2 linked regions of the Arabidopsis thaliana genome follow. The protein of the gene in region 2 interacts with the protein of the main gene of each other region in a pairwise test. Each region holds a gene or a part of one and is shown on either strand. Other genes may lie near its edges.

Region 1 (5,481 bases), 1.5 Mb from region 2:
AATAAAAGATGTTTTACAAATTTCTATGCAACTTTTCAATGCATTTAATATTTTATTATCATTGGTTAAAAATTTTAAAACTAAATTTTACTCCCTAAATTTCTATGGAGTCAATGATAGTTAGAAAATAAAATCTTAAAATATGTATTTTTAACTAAAACATCCTATAATTAATATGAAACAAGAGTCTAACAATATTAAAGGTTTTAAGCGGACTTTTAGGAATCTGAAATAGAATATAATAAAGCTCACCATTATTTTCGAGAAGTAAAAGATGAGAGATTTGTTGATGATAAAAGTGGTGGTGATCAGTACAGTCGGATATACATTTTTAATGGTAATATAATTTTTGGTTTCAAAGTTAAAGAAGATTAAAGCTTTGTTTATGAAGCTGAGTATGCCGGATTCTGTTAACAATAGTGTTCATTTCGTTTTTGTTAACATCATTTGGTTTTTGTTTCGACTAATTTTTATATGAATTTATTTATTTTTTTCTTTTTTTGAATCTGTAATTGTAAATGGTATTAAGCCTAGTCCAAGCAAAATTTACCAGTTAAATAGACAGCGATATAGGTGTTGAGTTAATCAGGGCAAACTCTTGTACTTAAAGATGTACTTATATGTCTGACTAGTATGATGAGAGCCATACAATGTACATGATAGGTGGTGTCCTAGTGCATGTGACGTTATGTAAAACAAAACTAGGATTTTATAAAACCCACATTTTTTTATGGTGTTCAATCAATTCTTGTGGTTTCGTTATTTAATTACTTGAACGTCATAATGTCTTGGTAAAACACCCTTTTAATGTTTTCCTATCTGTCACGTGTTTGTTCATATTACGTACGTTGGATTCACACGAAACACATTTCTACACCAGTTTCATACAACCTTTATATGAAAATATGTTTTTACTTAGACTACTACTCAGAATCTTAATTAGTCCATACAGAAGAATACAAAGCAGAAAAAATATCATTAAGAACCTCAGAAAATAGAGCAACATAAAAGCTCTATAATACTACTATTGAAGCTCTTTCATTTTGGAAGAAAATAAATTAGCCAACAGAATATAGAACAACATGGCACAACACTTTTCTCGACATTTAAGTTCTGAAAAAGCAATGCTAATTATTAATTTAACCTGCTTAACTTTTTTCCAACAAAATTATAAATTCTGTTTCTTTTAATTATTAATGAAGAAATCATGAGCTATCGTATTATACAATGTTTGCGGTTGTATGGCCATTTGTGTTTTGGGCCGGTAAAATGGAATTTCAAAGCTAGGGTCGTTGATTTATTTGCTTTTCTGTGACCGGTGAAATGGAATTTCAAAATTTCTCTTTACCTTACTTTGAGACTAAAAGTATTTTCTTCTTCTATGCTTACAAAAAGTACTTTAGTTTGAGAGCTGTATAAAATAATAGCAATCATGTTCTAGGAATTAGAGGCGACGGAGAAGTCCAATCCACTAAAAAGTTAAAGAAGATAGCACTTGAAGATAATGCGTTAAAGTAGTTATTTATTTTCTAACAAATAAATTTCAATTAAATAGGCGCTATATTTACTAGACTGGTTTACATTAATTTACATTAATATAAAGAACAATATTAATTTACATTATGTATTTTTTATATTATTTACATTAATTTATTACTAAAATGTTTTTATTTTCGTTTCTAGAATCTTTTCTACATTCAAAATATACAACAGAAATTAAATTAAAAAGTATAATTACAGAAGCATCAATGCATAAAATCTCTAGAGCTGATTATGTATAAAATAATCGACGGTACTAAAAAATTGCAACAACTGATTTTTTCGAGAAAAAAAATTGACTGCTATAAAATTGACCATGTATTCAGTTATTCAGACCTGGTCTTGTCTTGACTCCTTCAGCATAGCTGAGAAAATCCATGTTTACGGTCTAGTGAACAATATTTGGGTTCACTTATTAGGTAAATCTTTTTATTTATTTCCTCTTATCTTAAGTTTTTAACCAATCTGAATTCGTTATTTAATAAAAGAAATTTAAACTCATTTAATTATAAAATTTAAATCATAATCATTTTTTTATAAACTCAAACTCATATATAATTTAGTCTAATTATAAAATCTAAATCCTAATTTTTTTATTTCAGCCAATCAGAATATACTACCTAATAAAAAGTTAAAAAAACTTATTTAATTATAAATAAAAAATCTAAATTCTAAATAAAAAGTAAAAAAAAATTAAATTCTAACCACTTTTTAAAAAATTCAAACCAAAATGTAATCTCGTTTAATTATAAAATCTAACCCTAGTTCTTCTTTGTACACCCAATTCGATATTTAAACTCTTTTAATTGCAAACTCTAAATCTCTAACCGTTCTTTCTAAACCCAAACCGATATTTAACATTGTTTAATTATAAAATCTAAATCCATTTATAAAACCAAACAGACGTTCAATCTCGTTTAGTTATAAAATCTAAAACTGTTTATAACTCAAATCGATATTTAATAGTAAAATCTAAACTTCAATCCTTTCTTATAAACCCAAAACTATATAAAATTTTGTTCTTGTGGCAAATTAGATTTTATAATAAAATAAATTTAATTTATTTATTAGGTATAAATTCTAATTTAATGGAATAAAAAGGTGAATAAAGGGGTGAATCTAAATATATTTTTTATTGGCCCATATTTTTTACTAGGATAATGGCCGATTATGCTTTGGTGAAAATTTAGATAACGCAAGTTAGATTTTTCTCACTTTATTTAATAAGATAAGATTTTAGCGGGGATGAAATTTTTACAAGCGAATCCCTCAATATTTCACTTATGTTCGTGGATGATAGCTTCTTTTTTGTAAAACGACAAAAAAAACAATGCGTCATTGGATTTGGAATACTAAAGAACTATGAAGAGGTTTTTGGTCATGAGTTGACAACTCGATGATGGACAAACTTATGGCAATCTTCGAAATCACTAATATAGGGGACATGAACAACTACTTGAGATTATCGAAAAGTTTAGGAGGATCTAAGACAAAAAAAATTTACTCTTTTAGAAAATATTTACATAATAGAATAAATGGTTGGTTTACAAAATTCTTATCTAAAGATGGCAAAGAAGTATTGATTAAATCAGTACCAGATGCATTGCTTACTTATGTATTGTCTTGTTTTAGATTACCAAAATCAGTAACATCAAAACTTAGGAATGTAGTAACGAAATTTTGGTAGAGTTCCAATGGACGAACAAAACGTTTACAGTGGAAGGCATGAGATAAATTTTGTCATAGTGCCTCTCTGCTCTCCCTCTCCTCCTCCGGGTGCCTCTCTGCTTGCTACTTGGTTCCGTCTCTTCAGTTAGGTCCTCCTCTGCGGTTCAGGTTTCCTTATGAGTTTTTTGAGTCCTTGGGTCGTTCCCTCTTCGTTCTTTTGGTTTTTGGGCCTGCTATTTTTAAGTTTCAGCTTCTTTGGTTGTTTTGGGCTTTGCTCTTGTTGTCGGGCCTGCGCGCCTTGGATTTGAGCTTTTGGATGTGTATGTTTTCGAGCCTGTGTGCTTATGTTTGGACACTTGTCTTATAACTTGTTGTTTGTTTTAATGGAAATTTAAAATTAAAAAAAAATAAGAAAAATAAAATAAAAAATAAATAAGTTTTGTCGTAACGGTGGACTTGGTTTCTAGAATGTGGATGATTTTAATACAACTTAATTAGCAAAACAACTGCCGCAATTGATTATGATTCTTAACTCTTTATTTGCAAAGATGTTCAAAGAAAAATATTACCGGAAATCAAATCACATGAATCCAATTAAATTATACACACCATCCTACAAATAGAGGAGTTTAGTATCTGTTCAACTACTGATTAATCAAAAGTTGATGAAAAGAGTTGAATTAATTTTCAGGTGTTTTCCTTTGAAAGAAAAAAACAGAGAAAATGTTTTAAAATGAAAATTTATAGGTAAAAAAAGTCAATTGGGAATCGTTAGATCTCACTGGTTCAATGTGTGAGCCGGGCTTTAAAAACATTTTGATTTAACCCATACACACATCTCTCTGTTCCACGATTCTCTTCCTCAGCCTCCACGTCGTCTCTAAACTCAGCAAAAACCAATGTCGACGGTGAGAAAAATCACTCTTAAGAGTTCGGATGGCGAAAACTTCGAAATTGACGAAGCGGTGGCGCTAGAGTCACAAACCATCAAACATATGATTGAAGATGACTGTACCGATAATGGTATCCCTCTCCCTAATGTCACAAGCAAGATCCTTTCGAAGGTGATTGAGTACTGTAAGAGACATGTCGAAGCTGCTGAGAAATCCGAAACCACGGCCGATGCTGCTGCTGCTACTACTACCACCACCGTCGCGTCGGGTTCTAGTGATGAAGATCTCAAGACTTGGGATTCTGAGTTTATCAAAGTTGATCAGGGCACTCTCTTCGATCTTATCCTGGTTTGTCAAACTTATTTTTAATTGCTTTGGTTTTCAAAGTTTGCGATTTCATTTCTAGGGTTTGAGATCTTGATTTCTGTTTGAGATCTAATTTTAGGGTTCAGGTTTTGTTTAGATTGCCAATTTCACAGTTTAAACTATGATCATGTCTGATTGAAATATATGGTCTGATAGAGAAAAAAGTGTCAAGAGATTTCTTTTGAGTTTGTTGGATTTGTTTATAGCTGAAGACCACTTTACATCCAAACTCATGTTTTTTATGTTCTGTCTTAAACATTGGATAATGTTTAATTTCTTTGGGATTTGCTTGAATCTAGATTTGTTTTTCTGAGAAACCTTTTGGATGCTAACATGACATGTTTTGTTCTGTCTGAAACGAGTGATAAAGTTTATTTTCTTTGGAATCGTAGTTCAATATGTTTGATTTGCTTGAACAATAAAGTTCCATTTTTATCTGAAAGTTGAAGAGCTTGAATCTAAGTTGGTTTCCCTGTGACACCTTTTAGGCTGCTAACTACTTGAATATCAAGGGACTGTTGGACTTGACTTGCCAGACAGTGGCTGATATGATTAAAGGAAAAACCCCAGAAGAAATCCGTAAGACGTTCAATATCAAGAACGACTTCACGCCAGAGGAAGAAGAAGAGGTTCGCCGTGAGAATCAGTGGGCGTTTGAATGAAGAAAAATGAAGACCTAGGTTGCTGTCATGTCCTCGACCCATTTGTGTCTCCCTGTCTTATCTTCTTTCTTTGACTATATATCCATTCTCTTCTACGTGATGGTCCAGCTAAGACAGTGGGTCGGATGTTAATGTTATGTTATGTATGTCAAATTAAAGACTTAACTACGAAACATATTGAAGTTGTTGCTCAAAAGAGAGTGTTGGTCTTCTATTGTTTCGTCAATCATTTAGATAGGTTGTGAACACAAGTGATAAGATTTGTCTGCATGTTCTTAGAAAGAGAAAAGATCTTATTACTTGTAAATAAATGCCTATACAAGCACACACGAGAGATTGATAGATAATTCTGA
Region 2 (7,363 bases):
TAAATCAATCAAACTGCACAAACCAAGCCTGAGTTTCAAACTTTCTTCAGGGAATCGAGCAGACACACCAGATGAGAAATCAGATGAACCAGCAATGTTATCACTCATTGATTAGGTCACAGATCAATCTCCAGTAAACCCAATCAAATTGCATACACCAAGCTTTAAACATCAAGCAGACACAATATAAATGAGATCAATCAATAACACATGACAGGTAAATCAAAGAACTCGAATTTAAGATCCTAAGCATAAGAAAGTTCTATACTTTATCACTCACCTCGAGAGAGCCAAACGAATGTGAACAATTAAAACCCAATTCGCTAAATAAAAAACCTCAATTCATATTTTTGTTTTGTTAAAATCGTAAATATACCCATACACATGGAGCAAAACAAACAAAAAAATCAAAAATTTCTAGGTTTTCAGCAGATCGAATCAAGAGAGAAGACAAGCTTAAAGAACACAGATCAGAAGAGCGAATCGCTGATCAAAAATTAACGATCTAAAAGAAAAAAAGATGAGTTTTTTTTTACCTTAGACGAATCGCGAAATATGTCGAAACGAAATTGGAAGAGAAAAAAATAAGACCTTATAGGTATTTATACATGTTTCTTACGCGGTACGATTTCCAAAAAAGATATATTTTTATTTTTAGTCCTTATATTTTACTATGAATCACAGGCTACACTTACGTTGTCATAATTAACAATGCTATCCAAATTTTCAGCACGAAGGACGACACATGTAACACTACCAATGTTTTGCTTATAGATTGAATATTTTCATGAATTGTTTGTTGTATTTTTTCAAATTTGGAACGGTTTTTAATTTCTCGTGGGGGTGTTTATGAAATATATTAAACTGTGGGGGCAAAGGAGAGAATTATGAGAATATTTTCCAACGTAAATATTTTAGCGTTGCGAGAACGCGCAATGGACGCGTGATTCTGTTTACGTAGGAGATAAGAATGTCTTTTAATTTGCACTTTCGCAAGAGAATCGAATCCAAAAAATTCTTATTAACATTAATTGAATTAGTACATATTTGATTTTAGGCAATGTCACATTGCCAATGTGTATTAATGAATTTATTTAATAATAATTTCATTTTTCTAGTTTTGCTTATGCTTATCTCACTAAATACTAAAATTTTCTAAATCCATTCATACTTTATACTTATCTATAAAATCAAACATTTATTAAGATTATCAATTCATTTTTCATTCAAACACATCAGTGGTGATAATTGATGTATAGTTATTAGAATATATTGCTATAAACTTCATTTTGAACTAATCATCGATTTGTCATCATAATCAGTTCTAACCAGGACAAATTTGTAATATGGTTTAAATGAACAAAGAATGGCTATAAAAATTAATGAGAAAACCAATATCGGGAGCAAATTACTAGTTACCAATAGGTTTACTGATAAAGTTGGAACGTAATTACTAGGTGTAACACTTTTTAAGGACAATGTTAATCACATACAATGATATATATGTATACGTTACAAAGCTGACTGATTAAAACAAGAGCTACATTTGATTCATTTCAACTCCACAGAACCCAGGCAGAATCAGGTCAGAGAGAGAGAGAGAGAGAAGACCTTACAGAAAGTAGGCCTTATGAAATTGGACAAAAGGTCGAGACTTTTGCTCAGCAGAACCTCAGGGTACGTTCCAGTTCCTGCTCATCATCGCAGTTGTAGCCAAGTTCAAAAGCTCGGGCTGCGATGAAAAGAAGACGCAAATAGTTCACTTATGTTGGAAAATAAAAATAATATTTGGAAAAGGAAGTGTGTGAGAGATATGAGAAAGAGATAGATAGATGTGTACCTAATCGGCTTTTATCTGTGAATACTTCAGCTTCTAGTTCAGCTTCTTCCTCATAACACCCATCTGCGTCTGGCTCAGTTTGTACAAGTAAAGTATCAGAACAAACTCCTGAGATAGTACACACCATGAGGTCACCCTCTGGACTCAGTATTACTTCCTTGCAGTTATCATCGCATACTGTTATAAAGACCATAAAAACTATGTAAGTTTAGAGTAAAACACAGTAACAAAGTTACATTTTACAGCATTTCATTACATACCATGAACATTTCCCGTCTCTTTGCATATGAACACGTCGTCAATCTGATGGTATGAACATTTGGTTCCCAAACAAATATGGCCAGTGACAGCCTTATCAGTAAGTCCTTTGCTTTTCTTCCATAGAGAAACTTGTTCAAGTACAGTATTGTCAAGAATTATCCGGTCATCCACCATCTAAAAATTGCAAACAAGAACATGAGAAAATTCTTCACGTGATGATTTGTCCTAAAACATAAACAGATAATTATAAATAGTTACCTGGGACGGAAGAGGTGCTTGGCTTCTCTTTGCTGCTTGCATATGTACGTAATACTCCTTGAAATCCGACGGACAGGTTCTGACAAGTTCAATCATGTCCTGTTCATCACGCTAAAATTCGACAAGAGAAAGGAATCACTTAAAAATATATATGATCTGACTTCTACTAGCAACGCAAACTAACACTGTATATTCTTCAGCAATGTAATACTACTTGGAAACATCTAACAAGTTTATACGAAAAACCAAGGAGAAACTCACATCAATATAAAGCTTCTTCCAAGCAGATTCACGTAACTTTCTACTTGGAAGAGTTAGACCCCACCGGATACAGTACCTGCATATAAACAAAAAACAACCAATAAGATCATCACATCGTTTTTGAATACAAAGTATTGATTTTGAAAACAAGATTATCAACGACAATAAGGGGTACAAGAAGAGGCTTACAGGCGACGCCATAAGGATTCATCAGCCGCAGCAAAATTGAGAAATTTACAAACCAAGGAGCATGATACAAGATCCTGTAATGACATTCAAACAATTTAGTTTAAAAGCAATCCTCAAACATCAATAAAGTTCGAGTTTGAACTATATAGTATATACCTCCGAAGATAAGAACTTGAGAATATGACGAAACAGCTCAGTAGGAACATTGGTGAAAACTCCACTCTCTATTCTCTTTGCATCAGTTTTATCTTTGTTACCATTTTCCTTTTGATCTTCATCCTTCTCTAGAGCCTTTGTTTCGCCTTTCTCAATACGTTGCCGTTTTGCCTCAGGTTCTTTCGTTTCTTCTTTATCCTCTACCTACAAAAACCAAAGCATCAATAAATAATCTAACCTTTCACAGGACAACGCTGAACAAGAGCAAAATCACAATGGACATCAATCGAAGAACATGAACAAAAATTATGTGATTTTTCAAAAATTTCAAATGTATGCATATAAGATCAAATTTACAGATCAAGGAACTGAAGTTATCAAAAATGAAAAAAAAAACTAGGGGAACGGGAAAATCTCGACAGAATTTCAGATTCAGCTACAAAATTCAAAGATTGATGGAGAAGAAATTACTAAACCCTAAATGAAATCGAAAATTTGAATAAACGGAGAAATTTTTATACCGATGAGACTTCTGATTCGAGGAATCGAGCGAAACACTCATCTTCCTCATCGGAAACAGACATACTTTTCAGTCGGTGAAGATCAAAGCTCCGACGACGATGGTTGCGTTTATGCGGCCAAGGAAAGGATTGGAGAGAGACAAGACTCGAGAGGGTTGGCGTTTGGAATCGGTGGCGTGAGATTGGAGACGACCTCGGGCCGAATAATTTTGATAAATGGGCTAATAACCTAAATGGGCCATATATTAATAAATAAGCCCATAACACTAACCCTCCTCCTTGTCGTTAGCGTCATTAATACAAATTAGCTTTCTAAACGTGATTAAATAACAACATTTTTCTGAATTATTATTACGAGTTAACGACGTTCGAACTACTACTATAATTAAATTTTCTTAAAACAGAACATTTGTTATTGGATCAGCAACTACTTTTTAAGGAGTTTTTTCATTTAAGGAAATGTTATATTACTAGATCCACTAATCGACATAAATAAAGGCATATTTTACCAACTTCAGTATTACACTGTAAAAATTAGGCCTGGAAGTTCGGCATAACCCGTTTAAACCGAACCGAACAAACCGACGATTTCGGTTTTCGGTTTCAAACCGATTTTCTGTTGTAAATCGTTCGGTAGAATTTTAAATTGATTTCGGTTTTCGGGTTTTTCGGTTCGGTTCATCAAAACCGATCGGTTTTGTTCGGATTGGGGAGATACCTTTTAAAACAGAAAAATCCTAGATCTATCACTTCATCTTCTTTGTTTTCTAAACTCTCCTCTTCACGAACACCTTTATTTCTCCTCATCTCTAACCCATTTTTATCTTTTAACCTTCTAATTCTTCCTTATTCCTCCTTCTTCTCCTTGTCTTCGTTCTTCTTCTCCACCTTTTAGGTTCGCAGAAATATTCTATTAAGCCACCGCGACATCGATCTTCTCTGGCAATGATTTCATGGTTCTCTACATCTTTTCTCACCACCGCACAATACAAATCTATTTTCTCTGTTTTCAATGTTCTTCTTCTTCATCTCACCCTTGTTTTTCTTTGACGGCCGTCATTTCCAAAAAATAAAACAAAACAAAACCCTAGATGGGTGTGATGGGCTTTTCTTGTCCCTGGAAAAAAAGAATTTGGGTTTTGAAAAGTTAAAAACCGTCATGGGCTTTTTGACTTTACTTGTCCCTCAAAAAAAAAGTTTTGGGTTTTTAAATGTCAAAAGCCGATATGGGCTTTAAAAACAGCCCACTATGCCTAATATTGTGATCTAAACTGATTAGGTTAACCGATTAAAAAAAATTCGGTTTAATTTCGGCGAATTATAAATCCTAGTAACCGAACCGAAAAAACCGAGTACCGAACCGAACCGAACCGAATTTTTGTTCGGTTCAATTCGGCAGAATTTTTGAAAACCGAAAAACCCGGAAAACCGAACAAACCGAACCGTTTAACCCGAGTAAACCGAATTTTTATATTACACCATTTTTTGTGGAAAATTTTCATATTTTTTAAGTAGGATATATGAGCATATTTAACAAATGTGTTAATCTGTTAGGCTTCAATGTGTATAAGATTTAAGAAAATAATCTGGCAAATTTTTTTTTGCCTCAACTTAACAAAAAATCATAGTTAACAAATTGAAGAAGACCAACGACTACAATGACCAGAGAAGTTTTTTTTTTTTTTGGAACGAAAAAACAGAGAAGTTAGAATTACAATTTACAGAGCAAATCAAAGGATCTCAATTTCTTTAGTCAACAGGTGTTCCTTCTCTTCTTCCTCGATTCGGAGGTAGAGAAGAAAAATGGCAGCTCCGGCGATCCTAAACGGCGGCGATGCGACGGAGAGAGAAACACGAATGGCTCACTCTGCAATGACATTGGTTCAGGTCATAAATGGAGGATACCATGTGGTTACGAAAGTAGCTCTTAACGTTGGTGTAAATCAGCTCGTTTTTTGTGTCTTTCGCGATCTTCTTGCTCTCTCCATTCTCGCACCTCTCGCTTTTTTCCGTGAAAGGTCCCTTTTTATCTTCTTCTCAAAATCTCTCTGTTTCTTTATCCTTTTGCTTGAATTGCTAAAGTCTCTGAAGTCTCTGTTTCTGATTGTTTTGATGAGTTTATATGCGGCAAAATCAGACAAATAGTTTGATCTCTCTGGAATTGGAATTAGGGTTGTTTTTCTTTGTTAATTCTGGTTCTATTGTTTAATGATGGATTGCAATTTTGTGTGACTTGGATTTGTCTTTTGATAAAGATTTGCTCTTTTAATTTCTTGTAGAACGATCAGACCTCCTATGAATAGAAGCATCTTCTTTTCACTCTTCTTTCTTGGTTTAGCAGGGTAAAGTAATCAGCTTGTATCTCTTTATCTTTTGAATCATGCTAATGAAAGATTCTAATAACAACATTCAATCTCAATCTTGATAGGATATTTGGGAACCAGTTACTATTTCTTATGGGTTTATCTTACACGAATCCAACTTATGCTGCTGCTATACAACCATCAATCCCTGTCTTTACATTTCTCTTGGCTGTCTTGATGGGGTGAGTATGAGTTTCCTCAACATTACTGTAAAATGTGAAAATTTGTAATATAAAGTTTCAATCTTTTGATGGTCTTCTTCTTTGTATACAGTACAGAAAAAGTGAACTTGTTGAAAGTCGAGGGCCAAACGAAAGTTGGAGGTACTCTTGTTTGTGTTTCGGGTGCTATAGCGATGGCTTTGTTTCGTGGTCCAGCCTTGTTTGGAGGTAAAGATGCAGCAGATTCAGTGAAAAGTGTAATTATTGATAGAAGTCAACCAGAGCTTAATGGGTGGTTAGTCTCTAGTTTTCTTGGTCTTGGGTTTGATCAATGGCACATTGGAGTTTTATGTTTGATTGGAAACTGTATGTGTATGGCTGCTTTTCTCGCTGTCCAAGCACCGGTTTTGAAGAAGTATCCTGCCTACCTTTCGGTTGCTGCGTATTCATACTTCTTCGGTGCATCAATAATGATCACAACAGCTATCTTGTTTGTTAGAGAGCCTAAAGATTGGAGCTTAACACAATCTGAGGTTCTTGCTGTTATATTCGCAGTAAGTTTTCACAACCGAGATGTAATATGTTTATTTGGGTGTGTTTGTGTTTTGGAGCTTGAGCTCAAATCATTTGAACTTGAACTCAAAAAGATTGGAACTCGATTCTGTACATACGGATTCATCTTACTAGTTTGTGTTTAATTGTTTTCTTTTCGGTTTTTATTCCTCAGGGAGTGTTTGCCTCAGCTCTAAACTATGGACTCTTGACTTGGTCCAATAAAATTCTTGGAGCTGCTTTGGTTTCCCTATACAATCCTCTTCAGCCTGCAACATCGGCCTTTTTATCGACAATTTTCCTCGGCAGCCCGATCTATCTTGGAAGGTTTTTAAATTTTATGCACTCTTCTTTGTATCTTTGATTCATCCAGACACATACAAACCTTTCTGTCTTCTTGTATTGGATCATATAAACACCTTGGTTTTTGTTCTCTCCGCAGCGTTTTGGGTGGAATCCTCATCATTTGCGGGCTTTATATGGTTACTTGGGCATCTTACAGAGAGCAACAAACAACATCAGCTGGGAATGAGATTGCTTCTTCTAGTGATGTAAGAATCTCGGAACCTTTCATTTACAGAGATGAGACTGGTAAATAAATAAGAAAAGGTAAAGAAAGGATACTTGTACCGTTGTACGTAGTTAATATCAGACAAAAACTTGACAAATCATACAATTTTTTCGAGTTCAAACATTGATTCTTTAAACGGTAAATAATTCAAAATAATTACTTCGCCTCTTTTTTGGTAATGCAAGTTCAACTATGGAAACAAATCTCTATTTTTATTTTAAGAATTGGTT

What was found. The genes of interacting proteins can lie anywhere in the genome.
Region 1: the proteins of AT5G45360 (region 2) and AT5G42190 interact in a two-hybrid assay, tested with the Arabidopsis thaliana proteins (2 studies listed by BioGRID).

Annotation. Positions count from the first base shown.
Region 1 is NC_003076.8:16,854,142-16,859,622, reverse strand, and holds AT5G42190 (E3 ubiquitin ligase SCF complex subunit SKP1/ASK1 family protein), read left to right. Parts: upstream 1-3,881; 5' UTR 3,882-4,106; coding exon 4,107-4,448; intron 4,449-4,954; coding exon 4,955-5,128; 3' UTR 5,129-5,432; downstream 5,433-5,481.
Region 2 is NC_003076.8:18,383,122-18,390,484, forward strand, and holds AT5G45360 (F-box family protein), read right to left. Parts: upstream 3,751-7,363; 5' UTR 3,550-3,750; coding exon 3,487-3,549; intron 3,170-3,486; coding exon 2,966-3,169; intron 2,884-2,965; coding exon 2,810-2,883; intron 2,697-2,809; coding exon 2,621-2,696; intron 2,471-2,620; coding exon 2,360-2,470; intron 2,276-2,359; coding exon 2,101-2,275; intron 2,018-2,100; coding exon 1,841-2,017; intron 1,733-1,840; coding exon 1,662-1,732; 3' UTR 1,368-1,661; downstream 1-1,367. Other genes in the region: UMAMIT1 (nodulin MtN21 /EamA-like transporter family protein), read left to right, coding at 5,290-5,504, 5,766-5,828, 5,915-6,031, 6,123-6,564, 6,738-6,889, 7,005-7,161.